2 linked regions of the Danio rerio genome follow. The protein of the gene in region 2 interacts with the protein of the main gene of each other region in a pairwise test. Links are inferred from orthologs where the notes say so. Each region holds a gene or a part of one and is shown on either strand. Other genes may lie near its edges.

The links.
Region 1: the proteins of wdr6 (region 2) and g2e3 interact in a two-hybrid assay, tested with the Homo sapiens proteins (2 studies listed by BioGRID and IntAct). The two-hybrid records come from large-scale screens. The link is inferred for Danio rerio from reciprocal best matches to the Homo sapiens genes WDR6 and G2E3.

Annotation. Positions count from the first base shown.
Region 1 is NC_133192.1:30,298,021-30,310,553, forward strand, and holds the end of g2e3 (G2/M phase-specific E3 ubiquitin-protein ligase), read right to left. Parts: coding exon 12,482-12,533; intron 11,728-12,481; exon of another isoform or gene 11,489-11,727; intron 10,992-11,488; exon of another isoform or gene 10,969-10,991; coding exon of another isoform or gene 10,931-10,968; coding exon 10,768-10,930; intron 10,689-10,767; coding exon 10,582-10,688; intron 10,435-10,581; coding exon 10,318-10,434; intron 9,869-10,317; coding exon 9,744-9,868; intron 9,613-9,743; coding exon 9,504-9,612; intron 7,147-9,503; coding exon 6,842-7,146; intron 6,767-6,841; coding exon 6,585-6,766; intron 6,506-6,584; coding exon 6,333-6,505; intron 3,382-6,332; coding exon 3,170-3,381; intron 3,088-3,169; coding exon 2,840-3,087; 3' UTR 1,985-2,839; downstream 1-1,984. Other genes in the region: scfd1 (sec1 family domain-containing protein 1), read right to left, coding at 591-621. UniProt on the Homo sapiens protein: E3 ubiquitin-protein ligase which accepts ubiquitin from an E2 ubiquitin-conjugating enzyme in the form of a thioester and then directly transfers the ubiquitin to targeted substrates. Essential in early embryonic development to prevent apoptotic death.
Region 2 is NC_133183.1:28,124,028-28,137,228, reverse strand, and holds the start of wdr6 (tRNA (34-2'-O)-methyltransferase regulator WDR6), read right to left. Parts: upstream 7,689-13,201; 5' UTR 7,585-7,688; exon of another isoform or gene 7,502-7,584; coding exon of another isoform or gene 7,499-7,501; intron 5,752-7,498; coding exon of another isoform or gene 5,722-5,751; coding exon 5,625-5,721; intron 4,721-5,624; coding exon 2,077-4,720; intron 695-2,076; coding exon 617-694; intron 528-616; coding exon 411-527; intron 330-410; coding exon 235-329; intron 1-234. Other genes in the region: fsbp (fibrinogen silencer-binding protein), read left to right, coding at 11,641-11,949. UniProt on the Homo sapiens protein: Together with methyltransferase FTSJ1, methylates the 2'-O-ribose of nucleotides at position 34 of the tRNA anticodon loop of substrate tRNAs. Required for the correct positioning of the substrate tRNA for methylation.

The sequences.
Region 1 (12,533 bases), on a different chromosome or scaffold from region 2:
TTGTCCATCCCAATAAAGATTTGTTAGGACAAATAACTATATTAAATATATTATCCACTAACGATAAATTATCCACAATACACGTATATTAATGTGATATTGCACCGCATATAGAATTAGTTAAAATAAATTAAGTATAAATAAATTAAAATATCGTACGTAACCTTCCCTTCAACACTGTAACGTTACCCAATAATTATCATAAATATATTGTACCTAACGTTAAGTATTGATCTGAATAATGTTCGTGATTTTAGCTAGCTTGCTAAATCAGATCAATTTATTTTCATGACAGGACTCACGGGTAATAATAGTCGTATACATTTCGTATATTTTTAAAGTACAAGTGTTTCTTTATGCACTCATGTAGGTTAATCTTTCATTCATCTCATATTAAGTAGCTGCTTTATGAACATCACGGTTAGCATCCTCAGCTACACTGACAGGACTGTACTACTTCTGTTTTTTTGCATTCAGCATTATTGTCTGTATTTTTAATTGACAGAGTTTAAAATCGTGTGAAAATGACTAGTATTAATAATATTGCCAGCATTGAGTGTTTGTGTATAAATAAAAACTTTAGAACAGACCTGTCTGTTTTTCCCGGATGGACGCCGCCATCTTTACTGTTTATGCAGTGACGACTGCGAGGGTGACGTGGCAACCGGCGAGCCGCTGTCTGTCAGCGTACAAGAACTCACACCACTGGAGATCCTCAGTAAACAGATCAAGGAGGGCTTATCAGATGATTTTAAATAATTTATATTTTGATTTTTAATTTAGTTTCTCTAGACAGAATATATGCATTATAAAATTATGAAAAGCATTTTTTTTACCAGGCTCAAAAATATTAAAGTTAAATTAACATTTTTCTCTTTTGTTCAATTATTTATCAGAAGAAAACAATCACTTTCTTTTAAGTTATTGACAGGCACATTTCAGTGTTATCATTTGCCTTGTTTTATGGATTTCAAGACCTAAGGGCTTTATAGAATTGTATTGTTTTATCCTTATTTGAGTCTATGAAAATAAAAAGTAAAAGTATTATAACATTTAAACTGTGATGATCCAAATTGGGATACAATTCAAATATTGCATGATCATATTTTTTTTCAATATGATTAGCCCTAATTTGTCAATCTATTCATCCGTTTATCCATCCCACCATGTATGAATTTGTCTATATATCTGCCTATATATTCATTTTTTGTCTATCCCTGTATCAACTTGTCTATATATCTGGTTATCTATTCATCCTATTGTCTACCAATCTATCCAGTTTGTCTATTTACATATCTGTTCATCCATCCATCAATGTCAATCAAGTCTATCAATTCATCCATCAGTTTGTCTATCTGCATATTCACCCTTTGGTCTGTCTATCTATCATCTTACATCTAAGAAAAAGTACAAATGATTAAAAAATATGAAAAAAATGATATAGCTAATTTGGACCAAAGCAAAATGAGGTTATTAATAGTATAAAAGTTAAAAAGATTATTTTTTTAGACAATTCTAGAAAAATCACAAAAAATCTGTCAGTTTGCCCATCTGACAATATACAGTAGTCAACATTTTAAGTGGACCAAAACCTCTAATCAAAGTTCTCCTTAAGCTAGTGAACAACTTAATCACTTAAAACAATTCTAACAAACCTTCCTCCACTTCAAATGTTGACTACACTGTATTCATCAGTCTGTCTATCCAGTTATCTATCCCTTTATCTGTCTTACATTGATCAATGCATCTATTTGTTTGTCTTTGGCTAGAGTCTGTTTATATTGTCCAGTCCTTAATCCATAAAGTCATTTATGGATGAATGGCAATCTAGACAGACTTCAGTCAAACAGATGGATGCATAGATAGTCTATCTAATTGCTCTGACTAAAAATGTATATCAGTGTTTTGTTGATGTGATGGACGTGTGCATATTATTTGATAGGTGATTTTAAGACTGATTGAAAAAAACCTTCAGGTAAGTACATTATAAATCCATTCATTATTTAATAAAAGTAAACACAGTAAAAGAAAGTTAAAACAAATAAGTTATAGCAGTTATCGAGTTGTCAAGATATCAAACAAAGACATCAGGAGAAATAAAACTGTACAAGAACAAAGACATACCTGCTTAAATGTGATTCTAATGGAAATGACAAGCAAAGCAGACCAATTCATTCAGTAACTACTTCATTTGTAGTGACGGCATTTTGCCATTAGCAGTGTGGCAAAAATCTTGCAATTGCTCCATCTTGTGGCTACCAGAAAATTATAAGCGCGTCAATTTAAGCTTTGCAGTTTTTTTTTTTATAAGAAAAATCAAGAACATAAGAACATAACAACTCATTACTACTCAACTACTTTGAGCTTTGGTTTAAAAACCTCTGCACTTCTAAGCTAATAAAATCAACATCTAAGCCATTCAAAGCAACATTTACATTAAGCTATTTACATTTACATGCTCATGACCAGCTTTCCCAATCTCTTCAAGTCTAAATTGATAAGAAAAGCACACATATAATCTTTTTTTAAAAACAAATTTTCCATGAGTCTAAGCTTCTGTAGAAAATATTACCTCAGAGTTTTTCCTCAATAGTTGAGTGGCTCAAATTGTTTTGAGAATTAAATTGGATCAATAACTGAGACCATTTAAACAACACAGAGTTCATCAAGTTCTAAAACCTGCGTTTAACTACTGATAAATAGAGTGAATCATTTACATTAATGCGATTTAAGACTGTTGATATAATACTCGCTAACTGCAAACAAAAAGACTTTTAGCACCATTGTAAATCATTATGTGAATCTACACCATGACTCTACTGAAACATCCAGCTCGGCTTTAAATGTCCTGCATAACTGAGAACTGACACACTGTGTAATCCAAATGTTTCTTGAAGAGCTGGTAAGAGGGTAGAGTAGGCAGAATGAGATGATTGGCATCACAGTTGCTCTGAGGAAAAGCACACAAGTTGTCTGGTGAGCTGAGGAATGAGATGGACGGAGTGGGCTTGAATCCGATGGCTGGAACTAAATCTGTACCAGTGGCAAATGTTAGGAGGTCCTCCAGCGATGCTGCACATTGACCCTCTGAAACACAAGAGAAGGGTTAAAATTATTCAAAATGCATTGATTATTCTCTTCATATTCATCCAAAATGTAACACACAGACCTTCACATTCATGCAGATACTGTTTCCAAAAGCTTATCGTGGTCTTTTCTAGAACTTGTTTTTCTTTTTCTTCTGATAACCGGGTTGTGAAGAGCTCCATGACAGATTCAGCCGTCAGCCTTTCCACAGGTCCACAGAAGACTGGAAAGAACGTCTCTGAGCACATCTGGACCTGCTCGAACATTCCTAGTGTCCTCAAACCTTCACGGAATCTGAGGAAAGAAATATGAGCTTGAATGAACATTTGCTCACAATGAAGAGAAATGAAGGTGCTTTAAAACATTATGTGGATACACTAGAATTAAACAGATTGGGGTAGGTAAAATTAAAGAGCTAATAATTTTATAATAACTAATAATACAAGTTCATGAATACATTTTATTTGAAATAAATGCAACAATTCAAAATAACCGTGTTCTATTTGAAGTTATTTCACATTTTTGTATGATTCTAATGCAAACTTTCTAGCAGTTATTGCTCCACTTAACTGTTCCACTGCCTGCTCTACTTATAGATGATCATATTTTGTCTGTTTTAAATAAAACAGTCCTTTAAAAAGTGACTGTTTTAAATAATAGTTTACACAAACAGCATCGTTGGTTTACCAAAAAAAAAAAACTAGAACAAAAAAAAACAAACAAACAAACAAACATTATTATGTTGCACTACTACACTTGATTTTGGTTTTATTGTAAAAAACAGAAACAAACAGAAAACAAGTTAAACGAGAATCGGCAATATTTTATGGCACACTAAAAAATAAAGTTGATTTAGTATTCAAAAATGTTTTATTATTATTATTTTTTATAAATTGAAATTACACTTCATATTTTTCAGATTTTCATAGCATATGCATCATTTCTACCTCTACCAAATGGTTGATATTTTATAAATTATGGGATGTGCTGAAAAAACAAATGCTTTGAGTGTTAACTACCGCCATTAGGAATTAAGAAATGCAATCCACATTGTTTTTGGTGGGGCAGTTAATGTGATCACAGTTTAGAAATTACTATCGAATTTTTAAACATTTTACTTTGGTTTACCACAATACAAAAATGTTAAGATTCTATACTAATCCAGGTTTCTAATATCTGACAGTATAATGCAAATGCTATTGGTTCTGTGACAAATTACATATTCTAAATGCAAAAACGTAAATGACTTATTAACATTCTATGATGGATGGAAAAAAAACTGTAATCATTTCAATTTTAATTTAAATAAAACATTCTTCATTTTTGTCATTCATATTTAAAGTCACTTTTGATAAGCTTAATGGAAACGTACTAAATAAAATAATGGATTTCTCACTAAATAATAAAAGAGAGATCGTACCAACCAAATTGTTGAACAGTAAAATATGTTCAATTAATGTTATAATTACGGGTCTTAAAGATGTAAAAATGAAATGCGAAAAATTACATATAATAATAAAAAATAAATAAAAAAATAAAAATTCTACAGACACAGACAGACAGACAGACAGACGCACGCACGCACGCACACACACACCTTACAGAAGACAAACAACAAATTATCAATGCAACAATGTTATAAACACAAAATTTTAGTTCATGAATATTTCGAATAAGTGTTGCTTGATAAAATATATTAAACTTTATTTAAAAAGGCACCAATTTTACCCCTTTTACAAAATGTAATATACGCCTTTGGTGTCTTCAGAATGTGTCTGTAAAGTTTCAGTTCAAAATACTCATCAGATAATTTATCATATCGTCCAGAATCTGCCGATTTTGCTGTCTGAGGTTAGTGTAGCTATTTATGTAGCCTGTGGCTTTAAATCCAAATAAGCTGCTTCTCCCCGCCCACTATTTTTATTACCTTTATTACAAACGGGCTCTGCTTTAAAAACATTTTAAACTTATAAAATTAATTGATGTGCAGCTGATCACAGAGAGTTGTAACATGTATCTTTGCAAAAAATGTTCTGTGGACATGTGTATACAAGTTTTTATGGAGACAAGGCACCTGTCTCCATAAACCGCACTCCTACATCTCCTTGCTGTGGGCCTCAAAATTACTGGGATTTGGGTTGATGGACTCGAATTTCTGCCTTTCAATCCATCCCAGCATGGATCAACATTTATCCTTTTTCTCATAACTTTATTAACATGATTATTTAATTCAGTATTTAATCACTAAATGATTTAGACTAATAAATAAAGTTAACACATTGCTTAATATAATATAAGAATGTTCAGTGTATTTGCCTGTCTTTTTGTCTTTCTATTTTAACTCTACTTTCAGGAGCCACCAAACTAGATCAGAGGTCAAGGAAACCTCAAGTGGAACTGAAGGGCTTGATGATTAAAAACAACTGTTTTCCTATTTGGATTGCTATGTGTTACTGTCTAAAGTGAATTTGATATTATTGTTATGTGTATATTCATTTTAAAGTGATTTTTATAGACTTTGTGTTGTAAAAATATAGCAGTCTGAATGCTGTTTATACCAGTTTTGAACTAGTTCGATAAGACAGCTGAGAGTATGAAGAAACAACCTTGGGTTTTTATAACAGATTGTCACTTGCGTGTATATATTCATCCGATGGGTCAGTTCTGCAGTTCTAAGACCAGTTCATAATTGTCTACAGGCGGCTGACCTGACCCAAACCTCCTGTTGCCATCTGTACATAATATTTTAACTGTCTATCTTTGTTTTAACCAATCGGAACCTGTTACCTGAATCACACTCTTTCTGGTCTTGTGTAGAGAGTATAATTGATGTTGATTTATGATTGTAAGCAGAGCGGCCAAGGAACTTATTGCGAGTGTTGAAGCTGGCTTCTGTTGATGAAACTGCAAACTATCTTCAGTAAAACTTCTGACTCCGGCTCTACTTCATCTGACAGACTGGTCATTCTTTGAGTTAAAACTGTAAATAATCCCTACAGGGTCCTATTTTAACATAAGGAAATTTAAAAAAAGAGACTTGTTGGGTTCTGTCCAAACAGTCTACAAAAACTGAACTGTAACATAGGTGCCCTTTAAGGATCACAGTGCAGCCCCAAAATCCTAACTAATCTTAATAATTTCATACTGTCTTTATTATAAATCAATCACTAGATTTGACACATTTGACCCTATAATTATGCTTTTTACATGCTAAGATATACGTCTTAACAGTTTAGATTACAAACCTTTGCAGAGGAAGCTGCAGTCTGATGATCAGGTAGAAATTCAGTACATCCTCCACCAACATGTCTTTCTCAGAGAGTTTGCTGATCTTCCGCCAACAGCCTGCAGCTTCCAAATATTGTGATGCTGACTTCATCGCATGTCTCAGCTCCTTCATTGACTTTGCTTCTGCGATCTAAAAACACAGAGACACTATAGTTTAACATGTGTACAACAACCATTAGGTTCTTAATAAGTTACACAAATAAACTCACTTGTCTGATTTTGTGCCCAAAAGCAGTGTCTCCGAGGTCTTCTAAAGTAGGCCTGTAGTTTTTGGGATAGTTGAACAGACTATGATACAGTGCAGGAGAGAAGAAGCCCAGAGGAGGACCTCCGTGAACCAAAGAGAGGGCCAATAGACTGCCGACATCAAAGTAGAGATCGTCCCTCAGAGCTGTTGCACACACAACAGTTGTTAGCTTTGTTAGTGAAGGTCATTTCTAATTTTAAAAAATGGGTTTGAATGTACCTTTTGAGTTCAGAGCCAGGTTTTTAGCTCCATCGGATCCCTCAAAAATGTCTGAGACCTGCAGTTTTGAAACGAGACGCCTGAGAAAGCGACGCTGGTTTCTAATGTTGTTGTTCAGTTTGTCCTTGGAGAATTTGACAGAAAGTGTGCAGCAGGGATTAAAGTCACTTTGGCGCAGCACCTGCAGAGCTGCTTCCATCACGCCACCATCATCATCTCCCACCAGCACCTCTGTGAACTGCTGCTGTGAGATCTGACAGGCCAGATCCATTAAGACCTCCGGAGAAGTGGCTGGCACACACTGCCTACAAAACAATGACAAAGCTGTTACTACTTTGCCTCATAATAGTTCATATGTGCACTTAGTGATCAAAACACAGCCAAAATCATCTAATAAATGATCTTAATTGTGCATTTAATTAGATAATGCTTTATTAAGGTTTGGGGTCAAAATGAGTTTTAAATGTTTTAAAATCAACTTCTTTTGCTCACCAAGGCTGCATTTATTTCATCAAGAATACAGAACAAAATGTAAAATGATGAAATGTTATCGCACTTTAAAATAACTGTTCAAAAGCAGTTTATCATTTAATTTAATCATTTATTCCAGTGATTTTAAAGATGAATTTTCAGCTTCATTACACCAGTTTTTTTAGAGTCACGTGATCTTTTGGAAATCACTCTAATATTAATTATCATGATTGTTATTAATGGTAATAGTAATAAAAGCATAATTACTTGAGCAATAATTTTATTTTAAACTGTATACAATAATCAGAACTGTGCCCAAGCGCGTTTCCTGGTTCGTTTGAGAAGTGGGAGTGCTCTGAATCGGGCTCATGCGCAGTTCAGTTGGCCGGCCCTGGCCCAGTTGAAAGAGGTGTGCCATAGCGCAGTTCAGTTGGGCTTTGCCGCGGTACGCTTGTAGTGTGAGTGCAAAGTGTGCCTAAAGCAGGTCGCACACCAGAAGCGTCGCTCGGCGCCGCAACACGGCACGCACATGACAGTTTAAAGTATCACACACCAGACGCGCACATTCGAATGATATTTAACATGAAACTAATCAGATGGCGCTCTGTGGCGCGGCTGAAAAATGAACTGCGTCCAGAGCCGTGGCCGGGCGCTGCCGACTTGCGGCGCCGGTGTGTGTATCCTGATAGAAACCTATGTTTAGAATTCTAAAATGCATGGCGTGCCGCCGAGCGGCGCTTCTGGTTTGCGACCTGCTTAAGGCTAAAACTGAAGACGAGACATGCCTTTTAAAGGACTGTTTAAAGGACTTGTTTATTAAAGACGCAAATCCCTTACTGCGCTTCAGCTGCACCTTCAGCAAACCTTTTAATGCCTGCAGCACGAGGACTTTATGATTTTATATGAGCTTCAAAAGCGACTGATCTCGTCTGTGAAATATTTGATTGTCTCTGCATATCAAACTAATACGATAAAACTAAAGAAAACTCCACGGTTCTGAAAAAGAGAACTTCTCTTCTGTTAAACTGACCAGTGCATCATCGATGATGTGAGCATGCTTCGGCTTGGATGCAATGTGAGTGCAGGCTGTTGGGGGAGAGGGGAAAAGCGTGCTTCGGCATGGTTCAAAACAACTGTACATAGTGTGAAAACACCCTTACTATGCATGAACATTTACTACTTTATTGTACACATGCATGGATTCACAGCTTCTCTAGCTATTATGTTTATAAATGTATACATTTTATACCTATAGATTTATCTTCCCCTGACCCACTCCCAAGCCTAACTAGAACCCCAAAACAACGATTTGCCAAATACAGGGTTTTCACACTTTCATGGACATCAGATTTAAAAACTTTTTAAAGCAGCATTCATTTTAAATGAAGCACCTCTGTACCATGAATGTCCTTACTCTACTTTGTTTTTCACTCACATTTTAACTTTAACATTTTACTTACACTTAATATTTACATTAAAATGTCTAAAATTGACCGTTTTTAAATAGTCATGTTTAAATAACTTTAGTAAAATTTGTTAAAATGTGCATTATTTGTCAGTGTTGTTGTACAAGATGTAAAGGCTTTGGTAAAGATTTGGTAAAGATTTTTTTTATTTAAGACTTTTTCAGTTTTTCCATTCTGTTTTTGACAGCAGCACAGTATAATTGTTGAAATAACACTGTAAACAAGTTTTATTGCAAATTTAATTCAAGCACTTTCAAGTACCTATGTTTGATTTTAAGTACTTCATGGACCTTGAATTTATATGTCTGAAATGTAAGTACTTCCAAAAAGCTTGGGAACCCAGCAAGTAATTAAAGTATTTACTCACTTACTCACTATCCTTCGGCTTATTCCCTGATTTATCAGGGGATCGTCACAGCAGAATGAACCGTTAATTATGACTCTGGCATATGTTTTGTGCAGCAAATACTCTCCCAGTGCATTTATTTTCATGGAATTTATTTATAAATGTTAATTTTGTTGTTAATAAGAATAACCTTTTTATAGTAATATTTAAACAGTAGTTTTATTTGCACAGTATGCGCTTTACACAATTACTATGTAATAAGAACAACAAACTTAGTGACAGTTAAACTTATCATACAGCAAAATGGTAAATAAAAAAAGGGTTGTAAAAGATCAAGAATATTTTGGACTTAGAACAGATCCTATCAATTTAAAAATACCTTTTAGCGACGATTGAAGAGTGAATGTCAGAGATCGATTTAAACAGCCTCTTCCTCTCTTGTCTTATAGCCAGTGGCGATTCAACATGATTTGGCAATGGCAATGATGCTGTAAAAATAATGAAAAAAAAAAAAAAAAAAAAACTGAGGTAAATTTAAAACCTAGAGTGAGAGACACATCCAAGCACATGAGGCTGTTCTATTATTCACCACAAAAATACAACAGTTTAGAGAACTCACTTTTGCCCTCAGCTGCAGTTTTACAGTCAGCACACATCCAGTCAGCTTCATAAACTCGAATATTAGAGCACTTTCGATGAGTTCCCCTGGATCCACACAACTTGCAGAGAACTATTTCAAAATACCTGTTAAGAAAAGCCGTTTCTTAATTGATTGATAGTTACAATGTTTTTCAACCAAGGTCAGTGTACATTAATCAACATTCCACAAAAACGAGACCTAAATGAGCCCAAAGTCAAGTTTCGAAACAGATCAAGTTTACTATATTTTTTAAATATCACTTTTCTATCATTTTTAAATATTTAACAATAAAAAGTCATCAACAGCAATTAATAATGCATAAATAATAAATACTTCATATGATAAAATACACAACTAATAATTATACTAATAATAACATACAAGATAAAAATCTAAAACGGTTTAAATTTTTATTTCTGATCAAATTTCCTATCTAAATAAATAAATATTTCATTTAAAGTCTCTCCAACATAAAAAATGGAGCATTCCACAAGTATATGTTTCTGATTTCATTTGATTAATTTGGGATGACTGAATGAAAAGCACTGATTACCCTGACTGTGAGCTGTGTTCACGACCTTTGTGACACAGACACTTCACTGCATCACAGCGGTGGTAGACCTGCAATAACTCAACAAATGCATTCTCCTCCAGTTCCCAAGATGCATCACTGGAAAATAGAAAACAATGTAACTAAAAACATTATTTGAACATTACTCCAGCAAGCAGTGAATAACAGTGTTACAAATAAAACATTAGGATAAACAAGGTAATAGAAATTCGAATGACTAGAATCAATAGCAGAAGGATTATTTACCGCTCTGGTATATATATTCCCATTCGGAGCATTTCCTGCTGAAACTGCTCCTTGTTATTGCAGAGTGTGCATTTAAAGAAAAACATTGCGGCGCTGTGTGCATAATTCTGAAACACAAGAGAGGAGGATCTGGCTCAAAGTTCTAACTTAGATTAACATGTTTAAAATAGGGGTTAAAAAGATTACCTGTACACATTTCCTGTGAAACCAGCTTCCATGACATGCAGGGCATTTGAGGACATGATAGGAGAGGATGGGTTCAATGGGATCTAGACAGATGGAGCAGGAGTGGGGCAGACTGTGGCTGGAGTCACAGGACTGAGTAGGCGCATGCTTTTTACAGAAAGACCTGCAAAAGATTGCCATGATCAGTACCAAGAGGAGCATTTGTAAAATTGACAACAATGATGCTGCTTTTAAATAGGTTGGGGTCACTTGTTTTTTTGTTATTCAACAAGAAATGTTATTCGACAAGACAGTTTTTGACAGCTGTCGCATGATCCAAGATTTGGACACCCCTGATCTGAAGGATACTGAAGACTGGAGTAATGGGTGCTGCTAAACCTAAGATACTTATTTTAAAGGCCAATTAATAGCACTGACAGATGCAGGCAAACATACACTACCTGACAAGACAAAATCTTGCTGCCTATCCAAGTTTTAGGAACAGTAAATAATAACTTGACTTTTAGTTGATCATTTAGAGTCAGAAGTAGCTTATATGAAAGGCAAAGGCCTCTAGATTTTGCTCTTTTTTTTTTTATTTTTTTTTAACCAAAATCAAATATAATCATGCCTTGATTTTTAATTATTTCATTAGGACAGTAAGGTCTGACTTTCTTAGACAAAAGTCTCGTCTTTTAACAGAAATCATGTACAGTATAGAAAATAAAGTTCTATACTGTACATGAGTTCAGTGGAAAAACAATGAGTATTGTGTATGAGCGCTATCCTGCTGAAGATTTGCCCTTTCCTGTGGTTTGTAATGTAATGGGCAGCACAAATGTCTTGATACCTCAGGCAGTTGATGTTGCCATCCACTCAACCGATCTTTCTCATGGCCCATATTGAATGTAAACCCAAACCATGATTTTTTTTCATTAAACTTGACTGATGTCGGGTTCCAATATATCTACTCTGCAGTATCTGTAATGATTAGGATGCAGTTCAACAGATTTACCTTCTGCCACATTTACAAATGATCAACTAAAAGTCAAGTTATTGTTTGTTGCTCTTACAACTGGGATCGACAACAAGACTTTTGTCAGGTAGTGTATACAATCATTAGATTATAGCATGCTACTTCACAGACATTATATGACACAAGTGACTCCACACACACTGATAAGGGTAACAGACTGATCCAACAAAGTGTAATTTGCCTCGGTCTGTGTGGTGTAAACTGGCCTTACAAACATGTACTGGGTTAATGCATTAGATTCTGTTATTATTGTTAGGATCCTCATTTGTTCAGTCATGAACAGATGTAAAAATAAATCCAGAAGCAGCTTAATTCAAGCCTGTAAATGAAAGCCAAAATTAAATTTGCTGCTTATTTAAAGCAGGGGTCACCAATCTCGGTCCTGGAGGGCCGGTGTCCATGCAGGGTTTAGCTCCAATTTGCCTCAACACACCTGCCTGAATGTTTCAAGTTTACCTAGTGAGACCTTGATTAGCTTGTTCAGGTGTGTTTGATTAGGGTTGGAGCTAAAATCTGCAGGACACAGGACCTTCAGAAACAAGTTTGTTGACCCCTGATATAAAGCAACAATGGAGAATTTTCATCTTGTAGTCTGAACTTTCCTTTTAAATATACACATTTTAAATAATATTTTAAAAGGCTTCACATCAATACTTTCTACACCATCATCTTGCTATTCACAAGGAACAACGCACTTACGGAAACAAGCCTGTGAACTGGAAAACAAACTCCTGCTCTAATCCACAGGGCA
Region 2 (13,201 bases):
GTTTCTTAAATATCTGCAAACATATTATAATATTTTCATGGTTTTAAACAGTCAAAAACGTACATACAGCACCTTTTAGAAAAACGCTTGCAAAACAAAAAATGTAAAGACTGCGCATACTTTAATGTATGAAATATTCGTAAATTTGCTAGACGACACAGTTATTCAAACATTAAAAATAATCACGTTAATAAAAAAACCAAGTGTTTATGTTCTGGTGTATGTATGACTCACCCTGCCAGCTGACACTAGCCTTACTGTTCAAAACTGCTGTTAAATCCCACACAGATATACAACCATCTGTAGTGGCACTGAACAGCAACAAAAGCCTGAGAAAGAAAGAGAAAGACATTGAGAAATAAGTTTAAAATATCTTTTAAATATCAGATATTTGTACAGAACTCTCTTACTTTCTGCCCTGGGAGTCCTCCAGTTTGCAGGTGGCGACACTGAGCACACACCTCTGATGATAAAAACACTCCCAAAGCACATCAACGCTCCTACTGCTCTCATTCACACTGAAGAGCCTGAAAAAGAAAACATAAGACAGACTCAGAATGAGACAAAAACACAAAGCTTTTATTTTAAGAAATTTCATAACCTCACAATAAATTACCTCACTGCACCATCACTACACCCCAGAGCCAGCAGTACTCCTTCACTCTCATTCTGCACTACAGCAATAGACATGTACCTGCAAACACAAGAAAGCATTTGCACAATAAAATCCCTCTGTAAGAAAGCACAGTTGCAATATGAAGGGGTATGTTGTATTGTCTGCCATCTGGTGGTCAAAAATGTTCTGAACCAACCATCAAACAGCATTAAATTCATTAGCATGATTGATTTTAATTACATTTCATTATACATATAAAAATACATTAAGATTCCAGTTGTTTCCAAATATATTTCTTCTGTGAAGATGATCATATTTTGCAAGTTGTGGTAACATTTAATCTTTGAGAAGTTAACAGTACACTATACTCATTTTTAGCCATTAGAATATTTTACTTTAAGTAGTACTGTCCATGCTTATTACTGATACTGTATTAAGGCCTATCACAATAATCAATATATCAACCACAATAATTTTTGCCGTAGCAATATATATTTACAAATTAACAAATATTGTTAAAGCCACTTCACAATGACATTTACATTATACCTCACCGGTGTCAAAGTTTATAATTGGACATTTACCTTTTTAACGTCAAATTATAGAATCATACCTTAAGAATTATACCAATATTTAAGTTTCTATGGGTATTTGTATTATTATTATTATGCTGTTATATAAACATTACATAATCAGTGGCATAAAATATTCTAAAAATGACAATAACATCGCTTATCGCAACAATTTCTATGACAATATATCGCACAACAAAACTTTCTTATCGCGAGATGCCTAACTGTATCAAGATGATTCGTTTAACACTAAGATTTGTATTAATTGACCTCTACTTTGGTTATTCAGACAAGTCATAGCATTTGAGCAAAATAAGCAGTTTGAGCAGTTAAAACAAGAATTTTTTATTAGTAACATTAACAAATAATACTAGTCTGCAATAAGTACTAATGCCAATTTAATAACTAATTTGTATTTATTAAACATATACTAGTATTTAACAAATATGTACTAGTAGCTATGTAATAAACTAATGTAGTAAATAAAATGTTGCATCCATTTCAATGGGTGAGAGCATCAAATTAAGTACTAATAGTAAACAAAAAACTACTATTATTATACTATTATGTATACTAGTCACAATTAAAGAAACGTACAGAAGGTAAAGGCTTTTTGATTTGTTACATGTAATAATAGAATTGCTATTAGTTAATATTAAAATAGGAAAAATACAAGTATCTAATATGTACTAGTATCTAATGAATATATACTAGTAATAAGTAAGCACTAGTATCTAAGAAATAAGAACTTATCAAATAAAGGTGTTGGAAACTAATGAATTAATACTAGTGTTTAATCACTATAGAAGATATTCTTCTCGATCCTTATTCTAAAACTAGGAAAGTACATAAAATATTTGACATGAAAAATCACAAATATGCACACACCTCGTCTCTGGGTCCATTTTGACAGTCTTGTGTCGGTTCCGCTTTCGTTCCCACTGCTCATCTAATCGATGGCCAGCAATCTGAGTGACTTGACAGATTGGTTGACTCTGTTGCTCATCCAAATGAATGAGAAGCCGGTAACACTGCAGTTGGGCCCGGCCACCCGCAGAGAACACCAGAGAAGAGAGAACAGAGGTTTCCATCCCATTATTTCTCTCTCTTTCGTTCATGTCTCCTCTTCTGATTGCAGCCAGTGCACGAACAATTGAGATGTGATCCGTAAGAACCGCGAGTACCTTAACAATTCCACTCTGTGGACAGACAGCAAGTACACCCACTGTGGTATCCTCCCCTCCAGTAACAAAAACCTCCCAAAGTTCTGACAAGTCTCCAGACAAACTACCAAGGTGACACACACAGCTGATACCTCGCCCATGCAGTCCCTCTTTCAGAGTGTGTCCATTCACACTGGTGTCTGTGGACATTAATGAACGTGATGCCATGACAGCTCCTTGCTTAATGAAAACAAGAGTACCCTGTCTGAGAGCTTGTGTCTGGGTATCTATGTGGGTGCTTATTGGGCGTTTGAAGGCCCAAGAGCGATGACCACCTCCGCAGGTAACTGATAGTAGCTTCTCTTGACGATGAGGGTCCCATATAACAAAGTGGACAGAGTGAAAGCCAACCATTACAAAACGAGCCTCAGCTATGCTTTCCCTCCCTGTATCATTCGTCCTTTTCACAATTGTCTTATTTAGCATCCTTTCTGGTCCATCTGATCCCAAAAACAGAACCATCTCCAGCCAGTCCATGCCTTTGCAAGCCCGGTGAACTCTACGCACCTTCAGGGTGCTTTCTTCAACAGTTAGTATTCTTACAGATCCATCTCGACCAGTACTGTAGCATAAGTCCTGGTACTCACATACTGAAGTCACACCTTGTTTCCCATGGACGCCGTAAAGAGTGCTGATTGGAGAAAGAGAACTGACAAGCTCAGTTTGTCTATTCTCCGTTTCTTGATCTTGTGAGTCTATTCTGCTTTCTTCCCCCTCATTTATCCTGTCATTATTTTCTCTTTCCATGTAGAGAAGTAATGAACCTCTCCGGTCACCACACAGGCAAAACCCATTTCTCTGTGACAAGGTAACTGCAGCAGTCAACCAGCGTTTGGCACAGGGTGGCAGCAGAAAGGGAAGAAGAGCTTCTTCTTTTATGTGTAGGCCTGATTTATCCTCAGTCACATTTATTGTCCATCTGTACACTAATCCCTCAGAGCCTGATGCCAGAAGACACACATTCCCGGACTCCCCAAACAGTCCCTTGACCCAAAGTACAGAGTGAACTTTCCCTTCACCAGCTCTTAGGAAGACTCCCACCCCTGGCTGTCCTACAAGAAACACCTGCACTCCTCCGTTCAGGTTACCTACTGCACAAACCTGGACAATGCAATCCGAATTCTGGACTTGGATGCTTGCAACCTCCATCACACAATAGGACTGGAATTCAGATCCTCCTTGCCAAATGACATCCCAGATGTCACCTTGACTTAAGCAAACCTCACCTTGATCCGTGCAGACCAGAATTGCATTTGATTCACCCTCCCCCACTAATCGCACTACTTTGGGACAACCATGCCCTCTGAACCCAAGATCCAGTTGAGTCTCTTCCTGAGTTTCTTCACTGATTTTCTTACCCTCTGCCACTCTCCACAACCTTACTCCACCATCAGCACCTCCAGTAGCCACCCATCCCGCCCTACAGCTTATACTTCCCTCGCTTACAGCCAGAGCCCTCACGCCACCTGACTTATGCCCTCTAAATGCACATCCCACCTTCCCTTCACCTCCCCATTCCCAGAGCAGGCATGCACCATCTTCACCAGCACTAAATAAGCGGCTTGGTGTAAGCTTTACACAGAAGACTCGTGCTTGATGTCCATAAAGCACCCGAAGACACGTTGGCGATTCCTTTCCACAACCTGCATCTCCACCCAATGTGCCAACGCTCCACAAACGAACACTGCGGTCATCTGAAGCAGATGCCAGCCACCCAGATTCCTGAAGGTAGCAAAGGCTGAAAATGACTCCACTGTGGCCCAGTAGACGTCTCTCTACTTGGGACTGACCACTGAGCTTGGTTCCAGCTGGCCTCCACAAAACAAGCTGGTTGAAGACCGTCCCACCCACCAGCACTACAGAGTCCCAATTTGGACCAACCATAAGTGCTGAGTAAAGAAGACAAGTCTCTACGCACGAGTAAAAGGAGATAATGTTACCAGACTCTGCTTCTAGGAGCATGATGGCATTGTGGGCCAAGGATATGCCTAACAGTGAATGAGGTTGTCTTTTAAAACAATGAATGTCCAGCACCCAGTCTTGAAGCTCCAAGAGAGGACCAATCAGTTTCAGGCACTGCCCTTCAGATTCGAAGCTGACAAGCCGAACTCCTTTTCCTCCAAAAACAATAATATCTCCCTTGTAGCTGTTGTCCGAAGCAGAGCTTGCACCACTAAACGGTATTCCTCCAGACTGATGTTTTTTATATGGTCGTATCCCATGGATACGGTAGTTTTGGAGTACATTTATAGATGCACATTTCTTAGGAGATGCTTGAAGACTGTAGACAGAGAGGATTGGTCCCTCCCCTACAACACAACACAATTGATAGGGAAGAATCAATCAAATGAATTTTAATATGAGACACAAGTGCACTTCAACATAACATTCGAATATTATTAAAGAAGGAAATCTTAAAGCTAAATCAGTTTATTTGGTGAAAACATTGATAGTAGTGCAAAGCAGGCAATTGAACACAGTTACAAACAAAACATCTAAAACATTTAAAATAGGCAACATTGCAGAATTAGAATTTGTAAAATCAATAGCAGAAAATTATACAACTATGGAAAAACAAATGAGGGGATTACAGTGCAATTTAGAGCAACCTCATTATGAAATAAACACAAACACAATGGCTGCATCCAAAATCGCATATTTGCATACTATATAGTATGTTAAAAACAGTATGCAAACCGAGTAGTACATCCGAATTCATAGATTTAAAAAAACAGTATGCGAAAAGTACCCGGATGACCTACTACTTCCGACGAGAATCTGAAATGCATATTTGATGCACGCTACGCTATCACATGATGCCCAGTGAGAGAATTTATGAATGTGAGTGAAGCAACGCAACTGATGTTTTGGTCACATGATGATGACAGAATGGCAGATGTAGTAGGTCAGAGTTTCATTCATACTACTTACATTCATACTTTATAGAACATACTTTTTAAAAGTAGAGTAGTAAATTCAAATACAGTGCATTCTGAGTAGTAGACAATTTCGGATGCAGCCAATGTCATTGGGATTATTAAATGCACTAAATTTACCTAAAATAATTTGAGGGACATTAGGAGACACTTCAGGTTGCTTAGAGAAATCACATCCATATTGGCCCATGAGTCACAGTCTACATAATTTACTTCACCGTGGATTGTTAGCTTGTTGATTTGCTTCCTGTTCATTAAAAGAATGAATGTCAGTCACCTGTCAAAAGAAAATCCTCCCCTAGGAATTCCAGTGCAGTGATGGGAGCAACAAGCACAGCACTCTTCACCACAGCAGACTCTACAGGAGATGCCATTTCACAGTCTGCACAGCAGGCTGTAGACTTCTGGGGCACACACACACACACACACACACAAACATTACAGCATTATTCATTACTGACTGATCTCCTGAAATGTCATTTTCAAAAGGCAGAACCTGAACAAATGCAAAATGCTTGCTATGGCATTTATTACACGATCAAATCGATGTTATGATATAATAATAATTAACCTACTAGAGCTGCTGGTCACATGGCAGTTACCAAAGCTACTAAATTTGTTTAAATAATTTGGAATAATATAAAACAGAGCTGTCCAAACTTGGACAAAAGTTGGCCCACGGTAACCTTTGATTTGGCCCTCCATCCCATCTAAGAGGAGAGGTAAAACGATGGGGAATTTTGGGGAGAATGCCAATTTTATTTTTACATAACTTTTGTTTTTGTAACTGTCGAGGTAAAAAAAAGGCAGACTGAAATTAAACGTTTCACATAAAGCTATGAAAAGCTATGAATGAAAGCTATGAATCAGAATTAATTTTAATTAATTAAAAAATATTTAAAGTAATTTGATGGATAGCGGACATTGCAGAAGACATCAGCAAGCCAATTAAGGCAAAATGATTTTTGTGTTATAAATGGGATTGTTTATGTTTTTTATTGTAAGATGTTCATTATAAAATGTACAAAAGTTTATAATTGTTAATGCAATAAAAATATTTTAAATGCAATAAATTATGGAATTAATTAATTTATATAATATAATAATAAATTAGAAAATAACATTGACAACTTCATGGTTTGGTATATTTACCTCTGGCCCACCACTCTCAATCAAGTTTAGTTTTTGGCCCTTCATAAGAAAAGGTTGGGACACCCCTGATATAAAATAATTTGGGGATACTTGGCAAAATTTGTTTTTAATACTGAAAAACAAAAATTAAAAGTTTCATATCTGATATAAATTGCATATTTTCCAATTAGTCTTTTTAATTTTAAACTGCAAGTAGTGTATATATAATTTATTATATGAAAAAAAAATTAAGTTTGAGGTTAATATGTCAGAAAGCTATCTTTCTGTATGATTTTGTTTGAGTGTTGAGGCAAATATTTCTGCTTGAAGTCGTTTCCCATTAATTTTCACTTCGGTCATTTTTTATCACAATTAACAAAAGTGTGATTATTATTTGTTGTTTCAGGAATATTTTAGCTCTTTATGAAGGCCTTTATAAATCAGATTAGGTAAAAAAAAAATAAATTAATGAATGAAAACATGTCAAAAATTGATAACTACATTTTAAATTAATTTATCATAATTGCAAAACAAAATTGAGTATTGTGCATCCTAATGCAAATATTATGTTGGATATTAATTTTATTTTACAGTAATTGAAATAAAACCACAACACCCTTACTTTAAAAATGTATTTCATTATCTTTACTTTAATTATTCTAGATTATTGACACATGATGTGGATTATTAAGATATGTCAAGTAAACAAACTTTCTTAACTGAATAATTAAGCCCAGACTAACATCACCCATTTACAATTAATTCCAGTTTCCTTTATATTACACGTATATCTGTACTTTGAAAATAACGTAAACCATCACTGTCTAAAGTTAGAAACAAATGATAAAGGGTCTTTAGCCAGCTGGTGTGCAATGACTGTTAACTGCAGTAGGATTAAATTCAATTTGAGATACATGATTTTCCAAAAGGCAGTTGCAATAAAATGTGCTTTTATAAACGATTATCGGTTTACTTTTTACAATAATGAACGTCAGTAACTTATCAGCAAGACATATTTACCATAAAGTGGATCTTCCAGCAGTGATTTTACACGTTTCTCGTACAGTTGTAGCAACCAAAATTCAATTAGCTTAAATTTCACAAACCTGTCTCCTGTAGAGATCGTGCCTTTATTTTAAAGACAATAAAAACAAGGTCGTTTATACTGCATCAAGCATGTTTCGTACTGTATGCATGTGTTTTCACTTCCTCGTTGACACCGAGTACCGTCCAATCGCGCTGTTCAATACTACACACACCGAACCACACTGACAACCGATTGGCTGAAACCAGTCCTGCGCTTTCCACTGTGAAAACGCGTAGATTTGTGCAATTTGCCAGATGCACAAACCATATGTATTGAGCAGATCTCATGAGAATGGTATACAAATCATACGAAATGCACAAACCAGTGAATTGCCTTTTTTTACGCCCTGAGCGTCATTTTGCGCATGTGTCTCCGGTCTGTTATTTAAATTTCTTATGGACCGCTTAAACCCAGGGGGTGGGGACAAAGTGTAATATTTTCGGGATAAAATCGACAGCCTGATGATTGCATGTAAGTAGTGTCAATGTGGATAATATAATAACAGTTGTCATACGCTGTGTGTGTGTAAATGCACAATAGCTTAATTAAGGAGAGTGGTCTCGGGATAGTCTTAAACCGCAGCTCGGGTTCACTTCTAGTGCGATGCTCGGGTTTAGCGCTATGGCTAGCATGACCGGCGGACAAATACAGTTATAACAATTAGTACCGTAACAATGAAAATGCTGCACCTGCACCTGTAGGACTTGGCGAGACATGCATTTAATTGCTTGATTTTTTTTTCTTTGTTCATTCTTTAATAACGATGCGATTCACTCTGAGCGAATTGTTCTTTTGAGTCTGACCATTAATGAATCAGTTGAGCTGGTACACAAAACCGAACGATTCCGAACCGAATCGCAGCGAGCCGAGCAAGCATTTGGCCTAAAAAAAAAAAAACTTGTGTTAAAGCAGCCACTAGAATATTTTGTACAAACATTAGTAGCAGCGCAGAGTTTAGTGCAAAAATACAAAGAATTGTCAGCCAAGAGTAGTCTTGTAAATATCTATTATGTTAATTGCAAAAATTACCTTTATGACAATTTATTTAACAAACTTAAAATTAATGTAAACATTTACAATGTATGTAGAAATAAAATTAAAAAGTCTCAAAGGGATATTTAAAAAAAAGAAAATTTACTGGAAATACGCCAGGGCCATCCAAACTCTGTGCTGGAGGGCCGGTGTTTTGCAGAGTTTAGCTCCAACCCTAATCAAACACACCTGGACCAGCCAATCAAGCAGGTGTGTTAAAGCAAGTTGAAGCTAAAGTCAAGACACCGGCCCTTCAGGACCGAGTTTGGACACATCTGTCCAAGGCCATCCAATTGTATAGTGACTAGGCACAGGATGATAACTGGCTAACATTTTCTTTTATACTGTTCCTAAGGTATTTGTAGTTTTTAAAATGTTTTTTATGACTAATTTAGTTTTTGGGCAGCAGTATCTCCAGAAGAAATTAACCCTCCACATCAAAAGCTACTGGTCAGCCTGCAATTCAGGAAATATTTGAGAAACAAATTATAAACTATAACATCCAAACATGCTTTAGACCTGAAAAGTGCAGAGACTTACTTTAAATCCAAAGAAAAGTATATCATCTTTGCTTCAAATTCCAAAAAAAGAATTACCGCTTGTGGTAACCGCTCTTTTAATGCAGTGTCTATGGGACAGGAAATTCAATTTTACTTTATTCTCTCCTCTGGCTGCCAATTCTTTTCCTCTTTTTGAACGTCTTTAAATAGGTATGTAAATTTTTTTTTAGATAGTTAGATATCAAAAGATGCCTTTTAAAGTTGCAAAGAAATCTGTTTTTGAAACTAATGAAGATTTTTATTATGTCGCCTGACATGTTTACTGTTTCAAAATATTGAAAATGTTTCTTAAAATAAAATGTGTTGTGTTCAAAGGGGGGGAAAGTTGTTTGTTTACCCAGACATTTAAAAAAACATAAACAACTCATTTTAGAGCGGTAATCACAATACCAAGAAACTGGGATATTTTTATCCAAGGTTATCATACCGTCAGAATCTTATACCAGCCCATACCTAGTAGTGACTTATTTAATTCAGTCTGTGTAAATAATTCATTACAGTTCAACTATTTATTTTTTTACAACATTATTCCACAGGCTCACCAAATGGTCCTGAATGTGTTTACAAATCTTGTCACATATCTGTAAATAATATTTCGTGGACAGACGGATCGATTTTCTTCATAAGACTTCAGTGTATGTACAGGAACAACTCATTAGTTTAGTTTTGCCTATATATATATATATATATATATATATATATATATATATATATATATTTATATATATTTCTTTGTTTGAGTCCCAAAGTTCTGGTAGCCATTGACTTGCATTTTATAAATGACCAATAATCCAAATGCAATCTCAAACATAACTGTAACTTATAGCGTGGAAAAAAGAATGCTATGGATCCCTTTCACACGCCTGTTATGATGCGTTTAACGGTCATCAGCATCTTAAATCCTTGAAAGTTTTAAAAATTTTGATTTAAAAAAAAAAACATATGAACATTAATGTGTATTTATGTCTGTAGTATATCATCTTTGCTTCAAATTCCAAAAAACGAATTACCGCTTGTGGTAACTGCTCTTTTAATGCAGTGTCTATGGGACAGGAAAGTAAATTTATTTTATTCTCTCCTCTGGCTGCCAATTCTTTTCCTCTTTTTGAACGTCTTTAAATAGGTATGTAAAAAATTTTTTGTTGTACTTTCCCATTTACTGGGCGCTAAGTTTTCCCAACTATGATGACTTCCTCTACTGAGAAACCCGTAAATGTGAAAAGAGTCTACAGTGGCAAGTGTTGACACAAAACATGTGAAATTTGATTGTGTCAGAATGCACAGTGTAACTGTCAACCAAGTGCACCATACATGCGTAAAAACTGAAGCCAAAACTGTTTGAGTGCCCCCCTGGTGGATGGCTGCAGTATAGGTCATAAATCCATATAAACTAATAGAATGTGCACAAAATATTCAATTTTTCAAAAAGATGGTTGTCATCATGCAGATGTATGTTCAAGTGTTTGTTTTTTCTTACATGTTTATTTAATTATTTGTTGCTATAGAAATGGGTCTGTTTGGGTCAGATTCAGTATTATGCAAATATCAAATATCAGATCAATTTTTTTTGTAAAAGATATCGTAATATACTGGCATTAATTTATGTAATCACCAGAGATGGATGTACATCATCCTTCATAAAAATTGTCATCTCAACAAATGTTTAGTGTCAAATGTCACAATGAATACATTTTACATGTAGACACTTCTGTAAACAAGGTAGGCCTGGTATGAACTTTATAAAGTTATTTTGTCATTCAATATAAGAGTCCAAAATCCTGCTTCCTCCACATAATTCAATAATAAGCATTCAAATTTCTACGCTTTGTTTTTGCTCAGTTAAATGCATAATCTAGGTCAGGGGTCATCAAACTTGTTCCTGGAGGGCTGGTGTACACATTAAACTCTGCATGTCTATGTGTACAAAAAAAAAAAAAAAAAAAAGCTCATAATTGCCACCTTAACATGGTCAATCTGTATTTACATAATTCAATTTTATGTGTTTAACTGAAAAATTTTGGCCCTGATCACCTTCCAAAATAGTCCTACATTTTAATAACAATATCACAACAACAATATAGAACAAATGCTAAACCTTTTATTGTGCTTTCTTTATACTCATTTACAGACTTCCCATGTGTGCCTGGTGACCCTTTGCCCATCAGGTGGACCCGGGATACATTTCTATTTAGCACCCATGATCAAGCGACCTCAAAATCCCCCTTTTACTTGTGGCATCCAGAGTTTACCATATCACTGGAGCTGAAACTCTTGAAATGCACATAATCTGACCTCACCTTCCTGCATTCCTGGACTGTAAACACATACACTGTGACGCTACAAATGTTACCAAGTAAATGCATACAAATACCACTAGATGTCTTTAAACTAGACTGTTCTGTTGAAAATAAACATAGCAAGACCTTTTCTAGAGTTTCTATAAATGAAGCAACACCTAATACCTCAATAAAACCCAGTCACTCATGTTGACCACTATGACGTACCGCATGCCAAACTTCACCCTGGAGCAGAAGCTGTTTCTGCTTCGGAGAATCCATGCGGTGGTAGACACGGTCCAGGACTTTCGGAAAGACACCAACACTACTGTGCACCGGAATGCTGTGTGGGCAGAGCTGGCTCAGGCCTTCAATGCGGCGTTCCCGAGTCGACCACCCAGCAGCATCGGCTCTCTAAAGACACTGTGGAAAAGACTGAAGGTCGAGTGTCGTGTAGCCCTGCAGAAGAGACAGGAGCAGCAGGCCGCTGGGCTCCCAGTGTCTGCCCTCACTCAGGTAAATTCTCTAATTCAGATTAGGGATGCATGACTTTATCAGAACGTTCAATGTATGTTTATGATGGTGTGGAGTCGATTAGGCATGGGACAAATAACCGTTTTCAAGGTATACAACGGTTTGGAAAAGTCAAGGTTTTAAAACTGCCAAAATTTTTTGTTATACCGTTCCTAAGGTACTGTATTTGTAAAGCCTGGTTTATACTTCTGCGTCAAGTAACCGGCGTAACCCACGGCGTATGCAACGCGCGTAGCAGTGCATTTATACTTCTGAGCGCTGTCTCTGTTGGTTAGCATTAACACTTCCGAAACGCTAGTTGGCAGTGAGGTGTAAATGTTCCTCTGTGTCAAGTTTTTTCGCTGCTGTTTTGCTTTTCCTGAACACTTCTGGGATGTACAAGTGGCTCAAACTCGCTCATTTTAAGGCAGGAACCGGCGGACGTGCAACAACTTTAACTATGAGGTAAACGCAAAACAAAACTTTCCATCCGGAGCTCCTTCACGGGACTTCACACTTGAAAACAATCGCTCCATCAGGCTCGTACCAATCACACAACAAAGCGTTTGATGCAGAAGTATAAATCAGCCTTTAAGATTTTCTTTTATTAAATAATTTTTTTTTATTAAGGGAAGTAATTGAATAAAACTAGATTTCTTTCTGTGTACATGTTTGTTTGTTTGTTTTGTTGTCTGTAAAACGTACGTTTTATTAAGTATACTTAAAGGGGTAGTTCACCCAAAAATACAAATTCTGTCATCATTTAGTCACCTTTTACTTGTTTCAAACCTTTATGATTTTCTTTTGTCTGTGTTAGGACTGCGTTGTTTTTGTTTCTGTGTGTTTAATTTGTTCTAGATTGGGGGCGTGCCTTCAGCGCACCTGATGCTGGTCAGCACCCTTATTTAAACCCCGTCAGAGAATTGGTAGGGGCCGCTGTTCTTTCAATTGGCCAGAGCTGCACTCCAATTTGGGCATTATGTTTTGTTTCACATCCATACACTATCACTGACAACACCTATTGCATCCATTCACTTGCTTTTCACACTGATTGAACATACAGATACTGATGTTTTGATTAAATTATTTTCAATTGTGTTAAATAAATATTATTTTTGATTATATTTCGCTGTGTCGTCTCCCTCACTGTTACATCTCTGAGCCAGGTGTAACAGTCTGTTTAACAGAAATGAAGATATTTTGAAAATGATAGAAACCTGTAACTATTGACTGTGTTTCTTACTATAAAAAAATC